7 linked regions of the Macaca fascicularis genome follow. The protein of the gene in region 5 binds, or shares a complex with, the protein of the main gene of each other region. Links are inferred from orthologs where the notes say so. Each region holds a gene or a part of one and is shown on either strand. Other genes may lie near its edges. The genes, in order: HMG20B, DNTTIP1, CDK2AP2, PHF12, HDAC2, CDK2AP1 and KBTBD4.

The links.
Region 1: HDAC2 (region 5) and HMG20B share a complex: the UniProt entries of both Homo sapiens proteins name them as parts of the BHC histone deacetylase complex. The link is inferred for Macaca fascicularis from reciprocal best matches to the Homo sapiens genes HDAC2 and HMG20B.
Region 2: HDAC2 (region 5) and DNTTIP1 share a complex: the UniProt entries of both Homo sapiens proteins name them as parts of the histone deacetylase complex. The link is inferred for Macaca fascicularis from reciprocal best matches to the Homo sapiens genes HDAC2 and DNTTIP1.
Region 3: HDAC2 (region 5) and CDK2AP2 share a complex: the UniProt entries of both Homo sapiens proteins name them as parts of the nucleosome remodeling and deacetylase (NuRD) repressor complex. The link is inferred for Macaca fascicularis from reciprocal best matches to the Homo sapiens genes HDAC2 and CDK2AP2.
Region 4: the proteins of HDAC2 (region 5) and PHF12 are in contact, whole or in part, in a cryo-EM structure (PDB 8BPB), measured with the Homo sapiens proteins. The link is inferred for Macaca fascicularis from reciprocal best matches to the Homo sapiens genes HDAC2 and PHF12. Residues at the interface, in NP_001518.3 of Homo sapiens: Gln27, Tyr202, Gly203, Leu212, Arg213, Pro228, Met229, Arg230, Thr356, Glu358, Tyr359, Lys362, Ile363, Arg366; in NP_001028733.1 of Homo sapiens: Met21, Gln25, Met298, Asp299, Cys300, Leu301, Glu302, Pro303, Pro304, Leu305, Thr306, Ala307.
Region 6: HDAC2 (region 5) and CDK2AP1 share a complex: the UniProt entries of both Homo sapiens proteins name them as parts of the nucleosome remodeling and deacetylase (NuRD) repressor complex. The link is inferred for Macaca fascicularis from reciprocal best matches to the Homo sapiens genes HDAC2 and CDK2AP1.
Region 7: the proteins of HDAC2 (region 5) and KBTBD4 are in contact, whole or in part, in a cryo-EM structure (PDB 9GGM), measured with the Homo sapiens proteins. The link is inferred for Macaca fascicularis from reciprocal best matches to the Homo sapiens genes HDAC2 and KBTBD4. Residues at the interface, in NP_001518.3 of Homo sapiens: Gln27, Gly28, His29, Pro30, Asp100, His142, Gly150, Phe151, His179, Lys201, Gly203, Glu204, Tyr205, Phe206, Gly208, Asp231, Gly269, Asp270, Arg271, Leu272, Gly273, Cys274, Tyr304, Arg307, Asn350, Met351, Thr352, Gln354; in NP_060565.4 of Homo sapiens: Cys290, His291, Ser309, Arg312, Arg313, Trp326, Pro329, Pro331, Arg332, Asp333, Arg334, Thr355, Gln357, Ser361, Ala363, Val373, Trp374, Thr375, Glu376.

The regions. Positions count from the first base shown.
Region 1 is NC_088393.1:4,289,502-4,293,514, reverse strand, and holds the start of HMG20B (SWI/SNF-related matrix-associated actin-dependent regulator of chromatin subfamily E member 1-related), read right to left. Parts: upstream 2,801-4,013; 5' UTR 2,711-2,800; intron 2,459-2,710; 5' UTR 2,441-2,458; coding exon 2,403-2,440; intron 2,077-2,402; exon of another isoform or gene 2,057-2,076; coding exon 1,948-2,056; exon of another isoform or gene 1,901-1,947; intron 1,846-1,900; exon of another isoform or gene 1,367-1,845; coding exon 1,163-1,366; intron 202-1,162; coding exon 81-201; intron 1-80. UniProt on the Homo sapiens protein: Required for correct progression through G2 phase of the cell cycle and entry into mitosis. Required for RCOR1/CoREST mediated repression of neuronal specific gene promoters.
Region 2 is NC_088384.1:101,822,109-101,826,196, reverse strand, and holds the start of DNTTIP1 (deoxynucleotidyltransferase terminal-interacting protein 1), read right to left. Parts: upstream 2,801-4,088; 5' UTR 2,733-2,800; coding exon 2,628-2,732; intron 2,055-2,627; coding exon 1,984-2,054; intron 819-1,983; coding exon 722-818; intron 1-721. UniProt on the Homo sapiens protein: Increases DNTT terminal deoxynucleotidyltransferase activity (in vitro). Also acts as a transcriptional regulator, binding to the consensus sequence 5'-GNTGCATG-3' following an AT-tract.
Region 3 is NC_088388.1:6,866,904-6,869,935, forward strand, and holds CDK2AP2 (cyclin-dependent kinase 2-associated protein 2), read left to right. Parts: upstream 1-1,203; 5' UTR 1,204-1,227; coding exon 1,228-1,434; intron 1,435-1,528; coding exon 1,529-1,661; intron 1,662-2,014; coding exon 2,015-2,082; 3' UTR 2,083-2,532; downstream 2,533-3,032. UniProt on the Homo sapiens protein: Acts as a component of the histone deacetylase NuRD complex which participates in the remodeling of chromatin.
Region 4 is NC_088390.1:34,392,910-34,396,409, forward strand, and holds part of PHF12 (PHD finger protein 12), read right to left. Parts: intron 3,207-3,500; coding exon 3,063-3,206; intron 1,726-3,062; coding exon 1,627-1,725; intron 518-1,626; coding exon 435-517; intron 1-434.
Region 5 is NC_088378.1:17,995,119-17,998,618, forward strand, and holds part of HDAC2 (histone deacetylase 2), read right to left. Parts: intron 2,350-3,500; coding exon 2,275-2,349; intron 1,808-2,274; coding exon 1,669-1,807; intron 1-1,668. UniProt on the Homo sapiens protein: Histone deacetylase that catalyzes the deacetylation of lysine residues on the N-terminal part of the core histones (H2A, H2B, H3 and H4).
Region 6 is NC_088385.1:130,400,111-130,404,283, forward strand, and holds the start of CDK2AP1 (cyclin-dependent kinase 2-associated protein 1), read right to left. Parts: upstream 2,801-4,173; 5' UTR 2,604-2,800; coding exon 2,549-2,603; intron 2,206-2,548; exon of another isoform or gene 1,882-2,205; intron 1,279-1,881; exon of another isoform or gene 1,176-1,278; intron 1-1,175. UniProt on the Homo sapiens protein: Inhibitor of cyclin-dependent kinase CDK2. Also acts as a component of the histone deacetylase NuRD complex which participates in the remodeling of chromatin.
Region 7 is NC_088388.1:18,265,441-18,268,322, reverse strand, and holds the end of KBTBD4 (kelch repeat and BTB domain-containing protein 4), read right to left. Parts: intron 2,096-2,882; coding exon 1,235-2,095; 3' UTR 501-1,234; downstream 1-500. UniProt on the Homo sapiens protein: Substrate-specific adapter of a BCR (BTB-CUL3-RBX1) E3 ubiquitin ligase complex which targets CoREST corepressor complex components RCOR1, KDM1A/LSD1 and HDAC2 for proteasomal degradation.

The sequences.
Region 1 (4,013 bases), on a different chromosome or scaffold from region 5:
GACCTCAGATGATCCACCCACCTCGGCCTCCCAAAGTGCTGGGATTACAGGCGTGAGCCACCGCGCCTGACCCCTCCCACCTTTCTTGATCTTCTTCTCCTGGATCTTCTCCGTGCACATCTTATAGGCTTCCGACTGCTGGTAGGCCCGCAGCTCCTTCATGTACTGCTGCTTCTCTCTCTCCGCCTCATCCAGGTACCGCTAGGGAACAGCACCAAAAGACCTGAGGCAGGGGAAGCCTCTAACGCCAGGACCCAGTCTTCATCACTCAGCTTTCACAGCACCCTCCCCTCTCCTGAACCTTCCATAGTTCCCTATTCCCTCCAGACAGACAGAACCGGCTCCTCAGCCTGTTGCTCAAGGACCTCTGAGCTCCCACATCACTTCCCATGCCCCAGGCTCATCCCCAACTCCCGCCCTGACAAGACACTCCTGGGCGCCAGAGTCATGGGCAGGCACCCAACCTCCAGGGTATGTGGATACCTAGACTCCCTCCTGCACCCGTTTTTCTCTTTGAAATTTCACTTACAGGGGTGCAAAGCGGTGGTGGTTTTGTTACATTTCCGTGATGTTTTTGCAATTTTTAAACTAACAGTATATGAAAATCAGATTTCACAAAAAATCCAGGCCTTATCCTGACTTCTTAGACATATCTTTGTTGGTCACCCAGTTTTCGATCTGTCTTGCCTCTTGCTAGCCGCGCCCCCAAAAGCTGGTCATGGGCTGGCCATGGTGGCTAATGCCTGTAATATCAGTACTTTGGGAGACTGAGGTGGGCAGATCATTTGAGGTCAAGAGTTCGAGACCAGCCTGGCCAACATGGCGAAACTCCATTTCTACTAAAAATACAAAAGTTAGCAGGGCGTGGTGGCTGGCGCCTGTAATCCCAGCTACTTGGGAGGCTGAGACAGGAGAACTGCTTGAACCCGGGAGGTGGAGGTTGCAGTGAGCCGAGATCGCGACACTGCACTCCAGCCTGGGCAACAGAGCAAGACTCCATCTCACACACACACACACAAACACACACACACACACACACAAAAACTGGTCATGGGTGGGCATTTCACCAGGCAGAAGGAAAAGCCCTGCACGTGGAATCCTTTGGGGGTCGGGGCTACTGGTAGTACGGGGGTCCGCCGGCCCTGCTCAGCGCCCCGCTCACCTGCTTCTCCGTTGGCTGCAGCTTGCTCCACTCGGCGCCCAACATCTTGGTGATCTCGGGAAAGGGCAGATCCGGGTGGCGCGTGCGGATCTGCTCGCGCCGCTCGTTCAGGAAGCGCACGTAGCCTGTGACCGGTGCCTTGGGCCCATTCGGCAGAATCTTCTTCCGCTTCTTGCCCTTGGGCCAGCCGCGTTTCTTCACCGGCTGCAGAACCGGGCTGCGTCGTTGGGAGGGGGGCCTGGCGTACTGGGGCGGGGCTCAGAGGGGCATGGGCGGGGCCTAATGCTGTATGGGCGGGGATGGGGCGGGGCCTAGTTGGGAGGAAGAACCCGGAAGAGATGGAGGTAGGGCCCAGTCGGGAGTCAGGACACGGTGGTTTAGAGGGGTCCCTGGCCAGGGATGAGGGGATCCCAGAGACTATGGGCCGAGGTTTGAGCACAGGGGTGGTGTTTACTTAGATTGTAGGCGTGGCCTCTGCTTGGTGGGCGTGGCTTCTTGGAGAAAGGGCCCACAGGACCATGGGGAGGGTGCCGCCCCCAAGGAGTGGAAGTGGGCGGGACCTTAGAGTTGGCAGAGCTGGCATTGTGTGGTGGGCGGGGCCTGGACTTAGGGAGGCAGAGGACCTGTCAGGGGCGTGGCAGCTCGCACGGGGCGGGGTCTCAGCTTCCGGAGGAAAATCTGGGCTGTGGGCGGAGCCACAAGCAATTCAAATCCAGCCTGGGGCGGGACTTCAAGGCTGGGGCCGCAGCCCGGGGCCTCCCCCAGCTCAGCGCAGGGACTCTCACCTCCTCCTCGTGGGACCCCTTCTCGCCGGCGCGTGGACCCTCGCCGCGCTCTTGCTTGACAGCCACCACGAAGCCCCCATGCTGGCCCGGAGCCTTGCCGCCCGCCGGCCTGGAGCCAAGGATACAGAGGTCAGCCCCGTCCCTAGAGCCTCCCCTCCCCCAAACGCCTACCCCAAGGCTTTTAGACCCCCGACGACGGGGCTGCTGCGAGAGTGCACGAGCCCGAGGAAGCAGGGTCTGATGGGGTCAGTATCCGCGGAAGGTGGGACAAGCGGGGCTCCTGGGAGGGGCTGGAGGCCGAGGTGGGGTATGCAGGATTGGATGGAGGGAGAAGCCCCCTGACCCAGGTTGGGGGCGGTCGAGACCCCGGCCGGGGTGATTGGGGCGGGGGTTCAGGAGCTAGGGCTGCAGCCGGGAAGGTAGCGAGGGCGTGGGGAGGGAATCGGTGCACTCACGCGGCGGCCGCGCCGGGCTGCTTGGGGCCGTGGGACATGGCTGCTCCGGGCCGGACCTGGAACACGGACGCGGGCGGAGTTGAGTAGCGCCTGGGCTGATTGATGGCGGACCGCGAACTGGGGTATCCCGTGATGGAGAGCCCCGGGATGCCGGGCCCGGAGCGCTGGGGGGGCCGGATCCGGGGGCGGGGAAGTCCTCGAGGGCGGGCGCCCCAAGAATCCTTTGTTGGGCGATTGCCCCCCGGGAGGCCTGGGCCGGTTCCCTCCGGCCCAGGAAAGACCCCGGCCCGGCCCTGGGACCCCCGCACCCCCGCCCCCTCGCAGGGCCCGGAGTTCCGCGGCTGTTTTCACCTCCAAAGAAACTTTCCCGGACCTCCCGACTGCGCGACGCTCCAACCAACCGCCCGCAGCCCACCCCCGCCGACTGCCCCGCCCCTCCCCGCCCCCGGCATGCTAATGAGGCCTCGGCGAACGGTCCCATTGGGTGAGGCCTTCCCCCGGGGCGTGCCCATGCAGATACCGATCGGCGCGCCGACCGGCGATTGGCTGGGGAGGCTGCTGAGCCGCGTGGGAGGTTGGTAAGGAAGGCGGCGGGCGGTGCGTCAAGTTCGGCTGCGCTCGGCCGCGCTCGGGACCAATCGGGAGCGCGTGGCGGACTTGCCGGGCGGAGCCTCTTAAAGGGCCAGTAGGTGAGGCGCCGACTCCTCCTCCCGCTCTGAGGGCGATACTCCCAGCAGCTGCCGGATGGCGAGACCGGCGGATCCGGGTCGGGCCCCGCCCCGGTTGCCATGGGGACGGAGGTGCTAGGGTTAAGTTCCTGTGAGGCAGCCCCCAGCCCTAGGACAAGGTGGGACCTGTTCTTAACATCCTGCAAAACCTATCGGAGACGTTTCCTATTTATTTATTCAGTTTAGAACCCCCGACATCCGGATCCGAGGGCTTCTGGCCACAGGGGCGGCTTTCCCAGTGGGATCTGGGCTTTCCCTCCTGTGCAATGGGGACATCGCACGATGTCCAGGGCATAGAGGCTGGGATGCTGCGAAGCTGAGAACGGCGTGTGGGTCAGGCAGGGGGTGGGGTTGGGAGCTAGGCTGGAAGTATTTGGGGAAAGATGGTGGTAAAGGGAGGTTGCAAGGACCTGGTGAACTTGGGTCAGGATGCTCCGCTCTGGGGGATCAGACCCAAGTTGGGGGCTGCTCACTTCCTCTTTTTTTTTTTTTTTTTTTTTGAGACGGAGTCTTGCTCCGTCGCCTAGGCTGGAGTGCAGTGGCTCGATCTCGGCACACTGCAACCTCTGCCTCCCGGGTTCAAGCAATTCTCTGCCTCAACCTCCCGAGTAGCTGGGATTACACACGCCTGCCACCACGCCTGGCTAATTTTTGTATTTTTAGTAGAGACAGGGTTTCACCATCTTGGCCAGGCTGGTCTTAAACTCCTGACCTCGTGATCCACCTGCCTCGGCCTCCCAAAGTGCTGGGATTACAGGTGTGAGCCACCGCGCCCAGCCCCCTTCCTCTTCCTCAAGTCCGCTCAAATGTCACCTGCTCAGCCAGGCCCTCGCCTCTGATTTTTTTTTTTTTTTTTTCTCCGTAAGTCGGTTTCCTCTCTGGC
Region 2 (4,088 bases), on a different chromosome or scaffold from region 5:
CCTCCCAAAGTGCTGGGGTTGCAGGTGTGAGCCATTGTGCATGGCCCCAATAATGGTGATATTATTAAACAACTAATAGAAGTACTTACTGGACACTTGTTATGTCCTAAGTGCAGTGCTCAGCACAGTACATTTAAGTCATTTCATCCTTACAAGAAGTCAGCAAAAAAAACAAAAACAAAAACGTGACAGTGAGTGACAAGGGCAGATTTAAAAAAAAAAAAAGATATCTGAATTACCCTCAAGGAAGGGATAAAATTCTTGGGGGATTAAAAATTTGAAAGCTGGCCGGGCGCGCTGGCTCACACCTATAATCTCAGCACTTTGGGAGGCCAAGGTGGGCGGGCAGATCACTTGAGGTCAGGAGTTTGAGACCAGCCTGGTCAACAGTGAAACCCTGTCTCTACTAAAAATACAAAAATTCGCTGTGTGTGGTGGTGGGCGCTTGTAATCCTGGCTACTAGGGAGGCTGAGGCATGAGAATCGCTGGAACCTGGGAAGTGGAGGTTGCACTGAATCGATATCATGCCACTGCACTCCAGCCTGGGTGACAGAGTGAGACTCTGTCTCAAAAACACAAAACAAAACAAACAAAAAAACAAAAAAACAAAAGGAAAACTTTAGATATCTGTGTGTAGGAAAGAGACGGACTGGTGATGCAAGGAAGGACTGGGCTCCTCATGAGTCTTTCCCGTTATTTTTTATCCTGTGTCCCTCTCACCTTCATGTACTTGTTGAAGACAGTCTGGATCTCCTCATTGATGCTAGGCTGCAGGACAGCTCGGAGGAGATCCATAGAGATGGCAGGATCTGTGAAACTGCATTCAGGAGGGAGACAGGGTGAGGGGGCATGTCCGAAACATATTCTTTCTCACCTTGCCCAGTCAATTATGGACATAGAATTCTTTAACAATACTAGACAACTTTTACTGAAAACTAGCTACATGCTCAGATTTTGTTCAAATCACAAAGGCATGACTTTATTTCATTCTCATAACTCTATGAAGTGGGTATTATTTTCAAAGTTTTTTTTTTTTGGACGGAGTCTCACTCTGTTGCCCAGGCTGGAATGCAGTGGTGTGGTTTTGGCTCACTGCAACCTCCGCCTCCTGCGTTCAAGCAATTTTCCTGCCTCAGCCTCCCGAGTAGCTGGGATTACAGGTGTGCACCACCACACCCAGCTAATTTTTGTATTTTTAGTAGAGACCGGGTTTCTCCTTGGTCAGGCTGGTCTCAAACTCCCAACCTCAGGTGATCTGCCCGCCTCAGATCCCCAAAGTGCTGGGATTACAGGCGTGAGCCACTGCACCCGGCCATCTTTTTGTATTTTTAGTAGAGACAGGGTTTCTCCATGTTGGTCAGGCTGTTCTCAAAGTCCTGACCTCAGGTGATCCGCCCACCTCAGACTCCCAAAGTGCTGGGATTACAGGCGTGAGCCACTGCGCCCGGCCCAAAGTGTTTTTATGAAATATAATACTTATTATACAGAAAAGTCTATACACTTTAATGAGTAATTACAGTGAACATCCAATTCACCACTACCAGCATCCCAAAGGCCCACCTTGTGCTCTCTCCCTTCCCTGAGATGGATACTATTAATCCGTCTTTATAGTTGAGAAAACAGGGGCTCATCAGAGGCTGCATGAGAACACAGTTGTCTGACTCCAGAGCCCGTGCTCTTAAACTCCATGCTAACTGACCTCTTAAGAGCCCTCAATCACAGAGCCAGTGAATGTGAGGGGTCTTAGGTATTTTTTATTCCCCAACCCATCTCCTGTGCCCTTCCCCATTTCGTGAGTTCAGAGAAGGAAGTGACTTGACTAGCTCAAGATCACACAGAGTTACAGGATCGGAGTCTCCTCTTTCTCAGTCCTGTGCTCTTTCTACAGGCTGTAGATCTCCATAGTCTTGTGCACTGGGGATCCCAAAGCTGCCATGCAAGCCAGTGGCTGGGATACAAGTCCCATGCAGGGCCAGCCTTACCTTGTTGTCATCTGTGAGCGGCGGCCCCTCCGCTGCACCTGCCGGTGCTTTATCATTATGTTCCAAGGGTTCTGTGGGGACCAACGGAACAAATGTCACTGCGGCCTGTGACACTGGCGTGGGGTGGAGGTGGAGGGTGGGTATGAAGTTAAACCTAAACATTCCTGCTTCTCAGATCCGTCACCATCTCTCCCGCCTTGGGGTATCGGGGGAGGACAACAGTTGGAAGGCCCCCTCCACAAAAGAGGAACTGAGGAAGTTTCCTGCCTTAAAAGTCCCGACCCTGCCTTCTGGCACGGCAGGAGGAAGGGAAGCAGTGTTTACCGAGGGTCAACTCTGTGTCAGGTGATGTCCTGGGCGCTGTACCCGCCTTTATCTTCCCATCCCACAACAACTTTTATGAGACAGGTACTAATCATCTCCATTTTATAGAAGATGATCTGGGGACTCAGGGGGTCGACAGAGCTGGCCCACGTCACCTAGCTAGGAGGGCGGCACCAGAATTTGAATCCAGGTCGTCGGGCTGCGAAAACGCCAACCCCCTCTGCAGCTGCAGCCGCCGCGTTCTCGCCCGCGGGCCAGGGTCCCGGGAGCCCCGAGGCCCTGCCCGGCCCGAGCCCAGACCTCACCGGGGGCGCCCTCACCGTGAGAACCAGCTGCCCCGCTGCGCCCGCATCCCCCAGCTCCAAGCCGCCCCGCTCGGCCCCGCTGGGTCCCCGCGGCTGCTCGGCGTCGCCAGTGGCTCCCATGGCGCCCCAGGCCACCACAACTTCGCCGGACTCTGCCACCGGCCGGAAAGTGGCGCCGTGACGTCACTGAGGCGCGCTGCTCGTCCGCCCGGAAGCGCGACGCAGGAGCTGCGGGGTTACCATGGGAACCGAACCGCCGCGCCTCGCCCGGGACAGTTACACTTAGACGCCTTGTGGTTGGAGGTCGTTGGGGCTTCCTCTCGGGAGGGCTGCCCCTCGATTGTGGAGTGTGGGTGTTCAGTGGCGGTTCAGTCAAGGGACGTTTCCCGCTGGGCCAAGGCCTGTGGATGACTGCGGGGTAGGAGGAGGGGAGCTGGTTTCTGTAGGCTGGGGTTGGGGAGCAGAGGGAAGTGTTTGGTGCAGCGACGCCTGCAGTTCAGTGTTTGAAGACTAGATTTTAATATGCTGTGCCAGGGGCGGTGGCTCATGCCTGTAATCCCAGCACTTTGGGAGGCCGAGGCGGGAGGATCACTTGCAATCAGGAGTTCGAGACCAGCCTGGCCAACATGGCGAAACCCCGTCTCTACTAAAAATACAAAAATTAGCCGGGCCTGATGTTGGGCGCCTGTAATCCCAGCTACTCAGGAGGCTGAGGCAGGAGAATCTCTTGAACCCAGGAGGCGGAGGTTGCAGTGGGCCAAGATCACGCCACTGCACTCCAGCCTGGGCGACAGAGGGAGACTGTCTCAAAAAAACAAAAAACAAAAAGCAAAAAAAACAGGCGTATTAGGCACATGTTAGGTCGTCATCAAATGTTAATTATGCCGAGATTGTGCAGTGAGCCGAGATCGCGCCACTGCACTCCAGCCTGGAGGACAGAGGGAGACTCTGTCCCCCCCCCCCCAAAAAAAAAAAAACCATATTAGGCACATGTTAGGCCATCAACAAATGTTAATTATCTCCATGAGCCAACATCAATCTTATAACAATAAGGGCAACTTCCTGGCTCCAAACTTTTTCATCCTATTAGGGAGGTTTTAACCTTGTACCTGCCCATAGGACTAAGCAGTGCCAGTGGACACCATTGGGTATCACAGCTGACCAAAGGCATAAAGAGGACAGATAAAGAAAAAAAGAAATAGAGGAAAAAGAAATAAAGGTGGTATATGTAGGCAGACTATCTGAGTCATACATAGCAACTGTTCTCTTGAGTTCTGCCAGCTAGCCTTCATACAGTCCAAGAATGGCCTGTGTGGGCTAGAGGGACAAAGATGTAGGTGTTTGGTGCTTTTTCATTAGTTCTTAACAAACTCAACTACTGCCTTTCTGTAGGTTTTTGATAGTTTCTCCCCCCGCCTTTTTTTTTGAGACAGAGTCTCACTCTGTTACCCAAACTGGAGTGCAGTGGCATGATCT
Region 3 (3,032 bases), on a different chromosome or scaffold from region 5:
GTGGGGGTGGTACTGAGATTCGAACCCAGGCGGTTGGCTCCAGTCTGTGCTCTTGACCAATTTGGTCCGGTGCCCGGCACACAAGTAATCCCTGTTTGCCCTACGGCCATTATCACTAACTGAGGCAGCGGCGCGGGGCCTTGGGGGTGAGGGCAAAGGGGTCCTTGAGGTCGCCCTTGGACCTGAGGACAAGCCAAGCCTCAGGAAGAACGGTGCGCGGCGGCATAGATGAAGGGCCCGTTGCCATGGGAACAAACGCAGGCCTCGGGCGGGCGCATGCGCAGATCGGGGAGAGGGTGTTGAACCGGTGAAAAGTGACGTAAAAGCGCACGGGGTGGGGCGCGGGGCTCGGGACGTCAAAGCCCTGCGTCCTTCGGCCCCCGGAGCAGAGAAGCGCGCACGGCAGCGGTGACAGCGGCCACGGCAGCGGCGACAGCAACCCCTGCTGGGCCGAAACTGGGCAGAGCGGAGCAGACGTCTGAAGCAGCGCTAGTGAGGCGCGAGGGTGGCGCCCGCGCCCGGGAAGACCCCCTCGGCGCGAACCGGCGGCCCAGCCCCGGGTCCGGGTTCCCGAGGCCCCGCCTCTAGGGCCTGGGGACTAATCGGATTGAAAGCGCGCCGGCCCGGGCCGCGAACTCGCCAATTGCGGAGGGCGGTGGCCACCGCCCAATCCGGAGCAGACAGGTGCGAGGTCCGGAAGGCGGAGGCCAATCGGCGGCGGTTGCGACCTGCTGGGGCAGGTCTCGGCCAATAAGGAGGCTCGAGTGACATCTTCGCCCACCAATCGGGAGTGAGGGAGCATTCGTGCCCGCTCGCCCTTCCGGCCAGACCTCTATTTACCAGGGGCGTGCAGCCCGCTTGCCAATCAGAGCGCGGCTGAGCGGCCCGGCAGCCAACCCCCGAGGAGCGGCCGGCTGGCGTCCGCCGCGCCCAGGAGTTGGGGATGTCCTACAAACCCATCGCCCCTGCCCCCAGCAGCACCCCTGGCTCCAGCACCCCTGGGCCGGGCACCCCGGTCCCTACAGGTGAGGATCCAGCTCCACCCCTGCTCGCCTGCCGGGCGGTCGAGGTCTCGAAGAGAAGACGGCCTGAGTTCTGCAATACTGGGCTTGCCGCCTACCCTCGCTGAGCCTCAGTTTGCTGGCCTGTGAAGTGGGCGTGGTCACGTAAGGGCTTGTAGGTGGAGCGCAGTGGGAGGGATTTGTCCCTGAAGTTGATCAGCCTGGAATGAAGCATCCTTTGGAGGGAATCGGGCGAACCCGGTCCTGGGCTTGGAAAAGCTGGGAGGCGGCGTCCCTGCCCCGCGCTGACCTCTTACTCGCGCCTGTTGCTGCAGGAAGCGTCCCGTCGCCGTCGGGCTCAGTGCCAGGAGCCGCCGCTCCTTTTAGACCGCTGTTTAACGACTTTGGACCGCCTTCCATGGGCTACGTGCAGGTGAGTGGGGCCAAAGGCTTGCTTATGGATGGGGACTGGAGTCCCCCTCCCCGCCAGGTGCCTGAGCTCACTGCCCTGTTCTCTTTTGACATAGGCGATGAAGCCACCCGGCGCCCAGGGCTCCCAGAGCACCTACACGGACCTGCTGTCAGTCATAGAGGAGATGGGCAAAGAGATCCGGCCCACATATGCTGGCAGCAAGAGCGCCATGGAGCGCCTGAAGAGAGGTAAGTGAGGCCAGGCCGCCCTGCTTAGGAAACCGACACTGGACTATCTTCCATTAGGGAAAGAAAGACATCCGGAGGCCACCTGAGCCAAGCCTAGAGGAGGGCCAGTATTACTACCCAGAGAGGTGTTTTGAATCGAATTGAAATTGCGTCCATTTCCAGGGAAGAGCCTGGGAATTTGTACTTCTACAGGGCAACCTTGAGGATTAACCAAACCTCTAATCTCATCTAGCCGTCATTAGTTTGGAATTTCTCTTGCTGAAAGGGGAAAGGGAGTGGGGAGGCAGGGGTCCTCCTCTGGAGGGCAGTGGGTGGGGCTGTGGAGCGTTGCTGAGACCCCACCCCACCACCAGGTATCATCCATGCTCGGGCCCTAGTCAGAGAGTGCCTGGCAGAGACAGAGCGGAACGCCCGCACGTAACAGGAAGCGCCCCGGCCTCAGCGTCTGGACCTTTCCCGGCCACTGCAGAGCACCCGCTTCTCCCTGGCCTTCATCCCGAGTTGCACTAACCATCCTGGGCTTCCTGTCCTGTGTCCCTTGGTGGGTCCCCTCCAGGAACCAAGGAGCGGCTCTCCAGGTGGCAGCACTAAGGACATCCCCCCACAACAAGAGTTAGCAGCGAGGTCCCCATGAGTCCCACCCATGACCTGCCAACAGTGTTGCCCACCGGAACTTTCTGTGGTCCCCACCGCTCAGCCCTTCCCAGCCCTTCTCCCACTTTGTCCCGAGCGTCCTTCTCCCCCAGCAGGGGCTCAGGCCTGGCACCTCACTGCCTTGTGTCCTGAGCCATAGTGACTCTTTTATCTGTGTGTCTTTTGCTAAATATGCCCTTTTTATATTAATAAAAGATGATTTGGAGTTGTGCTCTCAGCTCTGAGCCTTTCTGGGTCTGGTTCTTCAGCTAAGCCTGGGTGGGCCAGGCAGAGAAAGGGGAAGAGGAGACTAGGAGTGGGGAGGGTGTGACTAAACAGGGTTTGACTTGCCTCTGTGGGCCATCAGCCTCAGGTGGGAACCGGGCCCTCTCCGCCCCAGCCGTGGCGCTGAGAGCCCTGGGCCTTCCTGTGGTGCCACCAGGGGGCAGCACAGGGCCTGGCTGCTTCCACAGCCCTTGGCGCTATGGGCAGCCTGGGCCTGGAGGGCGCTTCCTCTGGATTGGCGGTGATGCCTGGCAGCATGGAAATGCCAGTTCACGTAAGCCACTCCCTCAAACGCCCTAATGCCCTGACAACACCCCAGCCTCTGAATCAGCCCTGAAGGTCTCTGACTCCTCAGAGAGAACGGGCACTGCTGCTTCCAGCCCTTGGCCTCACAGTCAAGGGGAGGGGCTGGCCGGTTGCTGCTGTCACTACCCCAGCACCTTGTAGCAGGCT
Region 4 (3,500 bases), on a different chromosome or scaffold from region 5:
ATACCTCCTCAGGGAAGCCTTCCTTCCGGTGTCCCACACCCCCTACTCTCCCAATCCTCCTTCACTCTGCCTTCTCAGCACCGCTCCTCTTGGTGTGATACTCACTGGCCCATGATGATAATGAAATTCACAGGGACACATCCACAGGGCTTGGCTTCCTTCTACGCTGGTCCCCTCCCCTGCTTTAGGGTAGGCTCCCTCTGCTGTGCCTGTGACTAACCTCAGGAAAAATGGTAGCCCTGCTCCTGTGAAGCAGGTACCCCTGGTAGGATGCTGTTTTACATCAAGACTGTCCTCCTCCAGGAATGACAGGGAAGAAAAGGAGAGGACTCCCAATCCCTCTTCCCTCCCCTCAGGGCACTGAGCAAAAACCTACTGCTTGGGAGAGGCCTTAGGTTGGGAAAGCTCCCTCCCACCGCATCTCCAGCCCTCACCTCATCGTAGAATATGCAGGCATGTTTCCCGGACACGTAGTTACAGTGACCATAGTTTGTAAGGCACACATCCATGTCAGCTCCTGCAAGATGGCAGGAGTAGAGGAAAAGGAAGGCAGAGAACAGATTGTAAGGTGCATGTGTCGGGGAGGTGAGACAGGGAGGGAGTTAGCTTCTGGGTTGGCACTAGCAGAGACTTCAAGGGTGAGTAGCTCAGGGCCCTCCCCTTTTATTTTTGAACAAAAACTGATGTCTTTTCCAAGCTCCTGATAAAGAACAGCTGTCCCTGCCAGCTGATCTGCTTTAGAACATGTGGCTGCTACCCAGAAGGGAACAGTGAGCTACTGAAGAGGATGGGATATTTCTATGAAAATACAACAAGAGGGTGCAGAGCCTAGAAAATCATATCACCTTAAAGAAAGGGAAGTTTCTAGGGTAAGGACTAATCTGTCTGTCCTTCTGTACCAGATATAGAACTATCTGTCTCTAGGACTTCTAGGGAAAACAAAACAAAACAAAAAACAGATACAGGGCTAACTGAAGATTGGGTATGTGTGAGCCTATCACTCTTTCAAAGACCACCAGGGACAAAGCATCTGCCTTCTCCTTGGGTTCTTCCCCGCAGTGTTTAAAGTGCCTCCCTGGGCAGTAGTCAGAGCTGACTTTCATCTCTGCTGATGCAACACTGGGCAAAGACAAAGCAAAAGGGCCTGAACAAGGGAAGACAAGGAACTGATCGTCTCTTTTATTTTTGAGACAGGGTCTCACTCTGTTGCCCGGGCTGGAGTGCAGTGGCATGAATAGGATCACTGCCTTGACCTCCCAGGCTCAGGTGATCTTCCCACCTCAGCCTCCCAAGTAGCTGGGACTATAGGCATGTGCCCAGCTAAGTTTTTTGTATTTGTTTTTGGTAGAGATGGGGTTTCACCATATTGCCCAGGCTGGTCTCGAAGTCCTGGGCTCAAGTGTTCCTCCTGCCTCGTCCTCCCAAAATGCTGGGATTATAGGCGTGAGCCACTGTGACCGGCTGATTGTCTCTATTCTTAATTTCTCTTGTCTAGCTATCCACTGGTTTAAAGCAGTCAACTCTGGAAAGGGCTTCCCTCACCCCTTTCTAACTTCTGTGGGTAAGGGTATCAGTCTTTAGGGCTGAACAGATTCAGTGTCTCTCCCAGCTTCCTGGCTGGCTCACCTGTCCCGATGTAGAGGGTTCGATAGCACATGTTCACAGCTCCTCCCAACCCTAAGAGGGGGTAGAACACAGCTCGGGCCTGTACCTCCTTTCTTTGCACTACAAGACAAACATAGGAATAGGATCATTCAGAAACTCAGATCCTGTGATCCAAACATAAACCAACAAAATCTGGACTTTTGGCTCATGGCCTGGAGAAAATCCCGCTGGATGACTCATCTTTCCAAACTCACATCCAACACTGAGCTGCTGCAGGGTAGACTTTCTCTCCCCACCCACAGCATTTCCAACACAGGGTGCAGAGGACCATCTTTGAAGATAGTCAGAGAAGTCAGAGATGACAGTACTCTGTAAGTTCCTGGGCTCCTGGTTGGCTAATCTGGGATATTCCAGCTGGTACTATAGGGAGAACATGGAAAAACAGACCGCATGGACCAGTGTTTCTCAAACTTTAATGTGCATATGAATTGCCTACATATCTTGTTGAAATGCAGATTCTGATTCAATAGGTCTGAGGAGGGGCCTTAGCTCTGCATTTCTTTTGCTGTTTTCTTTAAAAATAGGCAAAAAACCAATGCACTGAGCTCTGCATTTCTAACAAGCTCTCAGGGGCTGCTGATGCTGCTGGTCTGGGAACCACACTTTGAAGCAGCAAGGCTTTTAATGGCCAGTGCTCAGACATACCTGAAACAGAGTTAACCACTTGGGGAAAATTTCCAGAAGGCTGGCCTACGGTTATTCTATTTCTCACCTTGAACTTGAAAAGTTCCTTCTTGGGAAGCCATTCTTTTAAAAATTTTATTTATTTATTATTTATTTAGAGACAGGGTCTCACCCTGTCACCCAGGCTGGAGTGCAGTGGTGCAATCATAGCTCACTGCAGCCTTGACCTCCCAGGCTCAAGCGATTCTCCCACCTTAGCCTTCCAAGCAGCTGGGACTACAGGTGTATGCCACCATGCCTGGCTAAGTTTAAAATTATTTGTAGAGATAGGGTCTCACTGTGTTGCCCAGGCTGGTCTCCAACTCCTGGGCTCAAGTGATCCTCCCGCCTCAGCCTCCCAAAGTGCCGGGATTACAGGTGTGAGCCACTGCACTCAGTCGGAAAGCCCTTCTAATTCAAATATTTGAAAGCAAGTAAGCAGAAAGTACACTACATATACCCAAAGGTACTGGTAGCTGCTTTGCTGTGTCTCAAAGTGGACTTATATATGAAAGAAAGTTACAGCAGACTTCCCCAAGTCTGATAAGAAAGCTGTGGTTGCCATCTTGTTCCTGCTCTCTTCAGAAAAAAACCATGGTGCTTTATTAAGCCCATGAAAAGCACACAAGAAGATTTGAATACTGGAAGCTCAGATTCTCCATGGAGGCAAGGTGACCATTCGCACACGTAGAGGGGAGATCTGATGATGTGGTGACAGGTGTGTACATGCGCACCTTCTGTGTGGTGCCCTCCAGAAGCCAGCTGATGTGTCCCGACACTGCCCGGTGAAGGTTGGACCCGGGAGGGGAAAAGCTGATGTATTCTCTGCAAGGCCAGAAACTTGATCAGCTTCTCGTCCAGCATATTTATCTCGATTTCTATTAGCCAAAGAGAAAGATTAAAAAGCTGCTGAGATGGAAGTGGAATGTGGAAGCAAATCAGGGTCACAGAGCAAATAGTTCGGCATTTCTAAAATCCAGTCAAGTAACTTTTACTTAAACAGCATTGAGTACAGAGCATACAAGGATCTGCAGCTGGGCATTTCACTTGCTATTTGCAGTGAGATGGGTCCCAATGCAGCCTGTGCTGCTGCCTCCTGTAGTTGGGTGAATTGATTTTAATAGTGCTCCTAGAACGGCAGAGTGGAATAAACCACTTGCCTGTCTGTGGGG
Region 5 (3,500 bases):
TAAAGAGCGTATAATAGTATAGCAAAATTTCTTCACAAAATTTAAAAAACAGAAATGAGGCTGTGATCAAGGTAAAGTTTCTGAGTGGCTCATGTGTTAGATAAGCAAGGAAAGCTGTGCACCAAGTCAATTTATTAAATCATGTTTGATTACACCACCCAAAAAAATTGTGTCCAGAGAAATTAAAGTTGTTTAAAACTATTAGCTGAGTGGGCAAGAACTTGCTCAAAGAGTTGAAGACACTGGAACCAACATCAACAGTCAATTAAAACACAAGGCAAATGATTGCAAATGATTTTCCTTTGCTCCTGATGAGCTGACAAGATGTTACACTGATCCTGCTCAATTACTGTTTATTTGAGGAGTCAGTATCAATTTTCAGTGACTGAAAAATCAGCCTCTATGGATAGCATGCATGGAATAACTACAAGCAAAAAACAGCTCAGTACAATATAAAGTAGAATCTGCTAAGATGTGTCATAACTGATGGCAAAAAATAACATTGCAAATGTCCACATTCATAAGTACCTCTACAGATCTCTCTCTCTCAAACTGCAGCCACAGCTAAGGAAAAATAACTCCTGCAGCAACTCAGAGATAATTTTATATCCATCAGTAGAGAACAAAGCCTCATTCACATATGGAAGTTAGGCAGTTAGACTAACTCAACAGGTAAACAAATTTCCTTAAATACTGGTTTCAAATTTTTGTCTTCAATTTACAATTTACAAAATACTAGAACATAAACTTCCAAGGTCATTGTCATTTTTTATTAGTTGAAACTAACTAAAATGAAAACTGCCAAACTACTTTTAAAAAAGGATATTTAATGGGAGTTTTGACATTTACATACACTTCTAATTCTTTTTTTTTTTTTTTTTTTTTTTTTGAGACAGAGTCTTGCTCTGTAGCCCACGCTGGAGTACACTGATATGATCTTGGCTCACTGCAACCTCTGCCTCCCAGGTTCAAGCAACTCTCCTGCGTCAGCCTCCTGAGTAGCTGGGATTACAGGCACGTGCCACCATGCCCAGCTAATTTTTGTGTTTTTAGTAGGATGGGGTTTCACCATGCTCGTCAGGCTGGTCTTGAACTCCTGACCTCATGATCCACCCACCTTGGCCTCCCAAAGTGTTGGGATTACAGGCGTGAGCCACGGGCACCCAGCCTTTTATACACTTCTAATTCTTTTTTTAAGGTAGGATCTCACACTGTTGCCCAGGCTAGAGTGTAGTGGCAGGAACATGGCTTCCTGCAGACTCTACTTCCTGGGCTCAGATACTCCCACCTCAACCTCCTGGGTAGTTGGGACTACAGATGCATGCCACCACATCTGGCTAATTTTTTTCTTGGCAGAGATGGGGTTTTGCCATGTTGCCCAGCCTGGTCTCAAACTCCTGGGCTCAAGAGATCCACCCACCTCAGCCTCCCAAAGTGTAGGGATTACAGGCCTCGGCCATAGTGCCTGGCCACACACTAACTCTTAATAATTGAAGATTTGGGCAAACTCCCTGCATTTCTTCATTGTTTTGTAATGAATTCCCAGAAAATTCACCATTAACTATTTCAACCTATGGCTTACCTGATTTTTTTTAAGCCACAGACTTTTATTGTGTTTTAATGAAAACATTTTATCACTGAAAAAAGTACCAATATAAATTAACATACTTTAGTAATTCAAGGATGGCAAGCACAATATCATTAACATAACAGAATCCTGATGCTTCTGATTTCTTAGCATGATGTAATCCTCCAGCCCAATTAACAGCCATATCAGTCTGTTGTCGGTTTAACTTCACGGCTCCAGCTAAGAAGTAGAAACAAGGTAGACTTTTTAAATATTTAACATAAAAAATTAGTACAACGAGACGAAAACCCTACAAGTGTATGCCATGCATAAGAAAGAGCTTAAAATCATAAAACTTAACAAAAATCATCTATGACATAAATAGGAGTTTCTCCTTAGAAAAACATTCTCCCAGAGCTGCGCCCTGAGATTAAATAATGGTTTATGTAGATGGTGGTACTAACAATGATAGCTAGAAGACAAGGGGGATGAAAGAAGTCTGTAAGTGAAAAATGTAAGTTACAAAAGTATTTAAGTCACAATAACAAAACAGAGGTTTGAAAGCAAATTGTACTGTACTATAAACATACTGATTTCCTTTTGTTATCAAAATTCACAATCATTAAAACTCCTGCTTTACACAAATAACCTGGAAGATACACACCAAATTTAGAACAACTTTTAAATCTGATTGTATTAGCACTTACCAACTGAACCACCAGTTGAGAGTTGACAAAACTCAAAGAGTCCATCAAACACTGGACAATCTTCTCCAACATTAACTGTGGAAGATGGATTTCATTAATTTCAACACACTCTGCAAATTAATGAAAGCCTTTTCTTACAAAAACTATTTCCTACAAATACTTTTTTTGCTTGATGCAATCATCAAACATACACTTCACAGTGTAATATAAAGTTTACAACTTTAAAATATATTTATTGTTTTATCCAAGGTAATTACAGTGTTATCTGTGAAAGATCATCATCAAATCTTATCAGGAGTATCTGTGGAATATTTCTGGTCTATTAACAAGAACTCAATAGTTGTCTATGCACAACAGTTCTCATTTAATTAAAACACAGGCTTAAATTTTCTAGACCTTTCCCCTTAATATTACAGTAAGTTAACATTCTAAAAGTAACTTCAATTGCTGTATGATTTACTTTCTTTAAAACTCCTTAAATACGTATTAATATCTGTAACTTTGAAATGCATGTCAGGAAGTTACTAAACCAAAAAGATGTAACAGCTGGTTGCCTATTTCCGTGGCTAATCTTGATCTTGAAAGCTTGTAAGAATTAACTAGGTTCATGGGAGCCAAAATACAGAAGGACATTAAAGACAACAAGGAAAAAACATATACAGATAAATAACACAACATCACACATTTAGTTCCTCAGTATTGACAGAATGAAGGGGATATGGCAGACATATATAACCCTTTCTTAGTCTTTCCCTATGCCCTTGAATTGTAACCTCTTCAAGAATAAGGGTCCTTGTTTTATATATTAATATCTTTGTACATCCTTAAGTCACAAGCACTATAAGAAATACATTTTAGTTTCTTACTGCTCAGATAGATCATAATTTTTTTTTTTTTTTTTTTTGGATACAGAGTCTCACTCTGTTGCCCAGGCTGCAATAGCGTGAGCTCGGCTCATTGCAACCCCCACCTCCGGGGTTCAAGCAATTCTCCTATCTCAGCCTCCTGAGTAGCAGGATTACAGGTGCATGCCACCACACCCAGCTAATTTTTTTGTACTTTTTTTAGTAGAGACAGGGTTTCGCCATGTTGGCCAGTCTGGTTTCGAACTCCAGACCTCAGGTAATCCACTCACCTCGGCCTCCCAAAGTGCTGGGATTACAGGCGTGAGCCACCACACCCAGCCAGGATCATAAGCTTAATATAAGTCATTATTATGCAGGTTT
Region 6 (4,173 bases), on a different chromosome or scaffold from region 5:
GGCAGGAGGGGCGCTAGCCACTTCCCACGCACCCTCGAATCAACTCGGTGTGCCCCCGTCCTCTTCCCCAACTGCTTTGCCCACTGCTCCTCACCTCTCCTTTTCTGTCCTCCCCACTGGACTTGGCGCCAGCCCCAGCTGTGCCACTCCTGGCTGTGTGACCTCAGACAGGCCCCCCGCCCTCCAGTCCTCAGTTTCTCCATTTGTTAGAGGCAGTGCTTCCCAAGAGAAGGTCTACAGGCTCCAGACCCTACTATTTGATGATACTGGGGTTAGGTTTTGCGGGGCTGAGAGGAAGGAGGAATGAGAAATTGTCCCATTTTGGCTGGGGGGACGAGGAGCAATAGCTCGGTGACTCCAATGCTCTGTCCAGGCCAGTCCCTTGTTCAGGGTTGGGTGGGGGGTGTCTAGTCCTGGAGAGAGATGGCGGAAATGCCCCGAGTTCCACTCATGGTCACTCCTTCCTGCAGACACAGGGACCGGGACACAGGGACCACGTCAGCGCAGGCCGTCTCGGCGCATCTCAGACAATGAGCGCAGTGTGCAGGAGCGAGGGGTTGGCAGAGGCCAGGAAGCTCCTGGGGCCAGGCGCGGCTCCCCGCCCCCACGCCAGACAAAGAGCGCCGGGGCCTGGGGAGCTGGCGGCCTTCCCGCCACTTGGGGCGCCTGGGGGGCTCTGGGGCGGGGGAGGCGGGGGCTTTGTCTAACTCCGCCACTGCCACCACCGGCCAGGCCGCGGCTTGGCAACCCGTGAGCAGGAGGCAGGGCTGCAGGGCGTGAGGGATGATGACAAGGAAGCCGGAGGAGCAGCGGCAGCAGCGGAGAGTCCATCTTGGATGCAAATGGCAGGAGGGGAGCTGGGGTTCTGCAAAAGGGTCCATGGGGGAGAGGGAGGGGCACCAAAAAGCCCAGATCTGGGGATCTCGGCACTCCTGAAATTCTCCACAGGAGAAAGAGAAGAAAAGCTGAATACAGGTGCAGCCAGCTCAGAACAGGACTTCAGGGGTCCCCGTGAGTGCCGCTATCCCTGTGACCCCAAACCCTGAAGGTCCCAGTTTAAGGCCCCGGCCCCAATGACACCAGGTCAAGCCTGAGCTGTCAGCCTTGCCCAGGCTGGCAACACCAGCCCCTGCCCTCCCCACAGGCCAGAGGAAGAACGCTGCTGGCAGTCCTACCTGGCAACAAAGCCCGTCTTTGTAAGGTCTGCGGACCCCAGAGGAGGTGAGAATGTTTGAGAAGAAAACAGTGGCTGTTTGCTCTTTGGGACTCCGAGCCCACAAGTGAGCAATTCAACTCTCCCTCAGCACCCTGACGATTAACCCTTTCCTGCCCCTACACCTCAGTGTCCAAGGTTTTTTTAAATATCGTTTTTATGGGTCCTACTTCGGATGTGGGAGGTTTATGAAGTCAACGTTTGCAAACAAGGCCCAAAACTCGAGCAGGAGAGCCAGCGTGGCACCGGTGACCAACGGGGCCACTCCTTTCCCTCCGAGTCCTTACCCCCCACGCCCCGCAACACAACCGCCTTTTGGGAAGTCTGTTTCCGACCAAGTGTCAGAGAAGAGGGGCCCCAGTGAGGTCACAAAGCCCGGCACCTACCAATCCCTCAATGTTGCGCCCACTCCCCATGGCTCCCTCGGTCCCCTGGGCTCAGCCCGAAGCTGCCTGACAACTTCTGGAGGAGTTTCCTGGGAGCGCCCGGCTGCCGCCGCAGCCCCAGGAAGGTCGAGGGGAGCCCCTCCCGGCTTCTGCATCGAGGGCCTTCCCGGATCAGCCCTGGGGGCTCCCAGATGGGGCGTCCGCGTGACCCCCTGCCCCCACGCCCGCGCGCGGGCCCTAGCAGCCCCAGGACTGCGCCAACTTCGTTCACTCCGCGCACACCTTACGGGGATCCCCGCGTGACCGCATGGGGCAGTCCCTGCTCCCACGCGCCCGGCCGAGGCCCCCCGGCCTCCGAGTCCGCTGCCCACCGGCGACCCCATCCCGGTCCCAGTCCCGGCGGCCCCACGACCTCAGGGCCCGCGGCAGCCCCGCAGCCCTCCGCCCGCGCCGGCCCGCGCGGGGCCTGGCCCTGCCCGCAGCGTCTCCCGCCCGGGCCGCTCCACGACCCCGCTCCCCAGGGCGGCGGGGCCCCGCGCCCCGCGCCCCGCTCCCCGCTCCCGGCGCGGCCCGGGCCGCTCCCGACTCCCGCCGGCAGGGGCCCTCGCCGAGCCGCCCAGAAGCGGGAGGAAAAAGGAGACGAGAACAAGCCTCCCCCGCCCTCGCCCTCGCCCGCCGCGCTCCCTGCGATCCGCAGCCGCCGGCGCGGGGGTCACCCCAGGCCGCCCGCCCCGCACCCCCAGCCAAGGCCCTCGGCGTGCGGGGCGCACCAGCGAACTTTGGCGGCGCGGGCTCGGAAATCATGGCGGCGGCAGCGCTGCCCCGGGCCGGGACCCTGAGCCCCCCGCCCCCGGCCTCCGCGGGCGCCCACGGCATCCCCCGGCCGGGGCTGGGCGCGCGGACCCCCAACTTGGCGGCGCTCGGGGCGCGTCGCACGCGGCTCACTCACCGGCGTTGAGGGCGGCGGCGGGCATGTGCGCGGCCAAGTTCGGTTTGTAAGACATCCCCCCGGGCGGCGGGCGCGCCGGGCGCGGCGGGGCCAGGCCGCGAGGGCGGCGGCGGCGGCGGCGAGGCCGGGCGGCAGCGTGGCAGCCCCGCGCCCGTCCGAGCGCCCGCCGAGCGCCCGCGCACTTTTTGTTGTCGGCGGCTCGGGCCGCGCCGGCAAATATGGCCGTCCGCGCCCTGCCGCCGCCGCAGTCTCACCCAGGCCCCGGGCGCGGCGCAGGGGCGGCCGCAAACTTTCCGCGGAGCCGGCGGGGCGGCCGGGGCCGGGAGGGGGCGGCCCGGCGTCAGGGGGCGGCTCCGCCTGCGGCCGCGCCCCGCGCCTCCGGGTGCGCTCGGCGCCCGCAACTTGCCAAAGTTTGGGGGGCTGGGGTCCCGGCGGCGCCTGAGGCCCGCGCGCGTCCGGGCGGCCGCCCCGCGCCGGGCGCTCCAGGGGTGCACTGGGGGCCGCCCCCGCGGCAGCTGCAGGAGGCCAGGGCGGCCGGGATCCGAGGAGCACTTTCTTCCCCTTGACGGTGGGGGCAGGGATGGAAAATTACCTGGAGAAAATGGTGGCGAGTGGTGTATTTAAGCACGTAGATCATTCCAGACGCCCGGGTCTGGCCAAGCCCCAGGATTCGAATAACTGATGCTTGACATTGATTTCAAATAAATTTCATGTCCCTGTCTTTATGAAGTGGTTTTTAACCCTTTGGGGATCCAAGACTCCTGTGAGACTGACAAAAGCTAGAGGCCTTCTCCACCCCTCATCCCCCTTCCCGGAAAACTCACCCCTGAATCGCACAATTTCGTGCGTAGACTCACTCCAGTATTTAAGGGAAGCACCTACTATGCGCCACTCACTGTTCCAAGCGCTGAGGATACAAGAACTGAACTTGGCAAAGTTTCTACCCCCTGGAGTTTTACGGGGCAATTTAAATCTTCCTTCGACCCCACCCCCAGCCCATCTTCGGATCTGATTGAAATGTAATCATCGAGTGTATTTTGGATTTGGATTAGATGAATAACCTAAAGGTTGTGGGTTTGTTCTCTTTTTTTTCTTTTTCTTTTTTTTTTTTTTTTTTTTTTTAATTTTGGAGTTCTGCCGAAGTAGTAAAGCTCGTTAAAATACATAAGATGCCCACCCTTTTCTGTTGTTTTTAATCGCCATGGTTTGCAGATTTAATTAGACACAGCCGTGCAAGCATCATCTCCGGATCTGGTAACAAAAGCACCCACCTAGGGATGCCCACCCAGGCCTGCCTTCTCCTTTAGGACCAAAGGTGCAGGCGACGACACCCCCTCCCCAGCTTAACCCCCACCCTTGAGATCAGCTGTAGACCAGCACTAGCGAAGGATGCTCAGTGAAACCTTATTCCATGAATAAATTAATGCCACCCATGTGGCTGGTCCCAGGCGCCTAGTCCTCTAGAGCAGCACTGTCCAATGGAAATAGCATGCCAGCCACATAAGTAATTTTCAATTTTTCAGTAGTCACATTTGAGAAAGTAAAAAAACACCGGTGAAATTGATTTTAACATGTTTTATTTAACAATAGCTCCAGAACAGCATGATTTCACTATATAATGAATT
Region 7 (2,882 bases), on a different chromosome or scaffold from region 5:
CCACAGGGCTTAAGCCCAGACTTGACATAACCAAAATGTGCCAATAGGTAATAGGTAATTTTGCTTTCTCTGTCTTGTTTCATTTTCTTGAAATAACACTGTTGTGTGGCTAGAAAGGAAAAGATTTAGTGTGGCTTGTATTCATGGGATACAGGACAGGGATGGGGCCATCTTCTTTTCTTGAATAGAGCTAAAGAAGTATTTTAACAAAAATCTATTATTATGTACCTAATATTGTGCCTAATAATATTTAGCACCACAACTCAAAAGACTTAGCACTAGAAAAAAGGAAACTCAGCTCTGGGTCTTTGCCACTGTCAGAATCTGAGTGTCACTGGCCCTGTGGAGTAGGGATCCTGTCTGGAGAAGTGGGAGCATGGGCGCAGTCAGGACTGCTGCAGACTGAGCCATGTGATGGTACGTAAGGAGTCCCCCTGAGGGAATGAAACACTCTCGCCCCTTCAAAGTCACCCCTTCGGAATTCAACACAGACACACATATCCCTTCAAAAACTTTTATTTGTATCAACACTTCCTAGCTCTTGACTTAGCTTAGAGCTTTTAAAAGAGCAGACACCTTACATATTTGAGTTTGAAAAAGTTTCTGCTATTAATCAGAAATAATCATTTCTATTTTCTGGCTTACCCCTTGGAATAAGCCAAAAATAAAACCAAAGTTACATTTCCTGACAGATGGATGAGAAAACAATAGAAGGAACGTCCTGAATTCTAGAGTTGACTCTTGCTGGTGAAGTACACCTTCAGCTTAGTCCATACTCCTAAGTAAAGCCCGAAGGAAAACTCTTAACACCTAATTCTTTGTGGAAAAATGATCAACTAGCCATTTCATAGGTTATAGAACAAAAGTACAATTGGGCATCTTTCCTTATGTCCTGGGATCAGGGGTGCTTATATTTAACATTGATCAGGTAAAGAGGAGAGGCTGTGCCTAAGGTCTGAGAAACAGCTTGCTCTAAAGCAAGCTGTGGTGAGGCACACAATGACTAGGGGATGGCAGAGAACAGGCTGGCCTACTGTCAGTTCAAGCAACCAGCTGAGCAGCAGCAGTCTAAAAAGCCCCAAACAGAACACCTCCATGGGTTCAGGGAAGGGCTGAGGCACTGCCTTTCTAGTATGTGCCAAAAAATACATTACTCTGAATTGGGGCCCGGGGGACTTTGAGTTTGGATGGGGAGGGAAAAGGAGTGAGCAGCTCTCCTCCCCTCCCCACAGCCTTAGGCCAACACAAACTGCAAATTGGTAAGCAGCACCTTAATACCTCTTGTGACAGTTACGGCTGAAGTGGCAGGGTCAAGCTTGTAGGTGTTGGCATCCCCCTTTTTATATCGGTCCCGGAAGACATAGATGCTCCCATTACAGCTGGCAATCTTCCAGAGGGATGGGGCAGAGCTCCAGGCCTCAGGAAGGCAAAGCCGGGTGAAGCTGTCTAGCAAGGGATTGTAACATACCAGGGAGTCCCCTTCAGCCACGATGAACACCAGATCTTTATGCACAGCTGCGTGCATGTGGCCTGCAAAGGGCAGCACATAGGGCTTCACATGGCATTTGTCTGTCTCTGTGTCAAAGCACTGGATGAGTCGGGAAGGTTTGGTAAAGAAGTCCAGATCATTCTCCTCCCCCCCCAGTAAGTAGATGATCCCGTTGAGGTTGGCACCAGCAGCCCCTGACACAGCCACCTCTAGCTGGGTTGTCTCTGTCCACACATTATCACCTACGCGATAATAAATGACTGCATTGGAGAGGGTATCTTGCAGTGTCTTGCCACCCAGTGAATATATGGCATCTTTCCCGGGCACAGACACCAGGGTGTGCTGGAGCCGGTCCCGAGGCAAAGGAGCACACCACTCCCAGTCAACGGTGGCATTGTTGCACTTCCACATGCGCCGTGGGATGGACCCTCCCACCACATACAAGTCTCCACCATGCTTGCAGGCCGCAGTGATCTGGTGGCACAAGCTGTTTTGGCCACTTACACTGATGGAGTCATCTTCTGCACAGTGCAAGGACACAGCCAACGAGTGGGTACGAGATGACTCTTTCCCAATCAGGTAAATGTGCACATTCTCCCCAATTTCCTATTGGCAAAATTAAAATTATATGACAGCTGTTAAGTTCTAGGCTAAGGCTCTGCTAAGACACATATCCTTAAGATCCCGGACTTTACACCTGTACCTAGCTTTAACATACTACTCTCTAATTACTGCATGGCATCCAACTGTCCTCTAGTCACTTTCTTTGAGGCAATTTATGCCGGGAGGAGAATCTTGTATTCACCCTTGTAACTTTTAAAACTCTCATAAACTGGTGCTTTGGACAAAGGGTGATTAAGATTGTTAACTTGATGAAAGTAGTTCTCAAGGAACTTTGAGAGCTCATAGATTGGTGGTTCTGGGGTTACAAAGACATCCTTCTCCCCAGCTTACATCAACTTCAAGCCAGAGATGACTTATTCAAAAAAATAATAAATAAATATAAAAAATTAAAAAAACAGAGATGGCCAGGCGCGGTTGCTCACACCTGTAATCCCAGCACTTTGGGAGGCTGAGGTGGGCAGATCATCTAAGCTCAAGAGTTCGAGACCAGCCTGACCAATATGGTGAAACCCTGTCTCCACTAAAAATACAAAAATTAGCTGGGCGTGGTGGTATGCGCCTGTATTCCCAGCTATTCGGGAGGCTTAGACAGAATTGCTTGAACCCGAGAGGTGGAGGTTGCAGTGAGCTGAGATCATGCCATTACACTCCAGCCTGGGCAACAGAGTGAGACTCTGTCTCAAAAAAAAAAAGAAAAAAAAAGCAAAAACAAAAACAGATGACCATTCATAACCTGGCCATCAAAAAGAGACCAGGTTAGGTCAGGCGC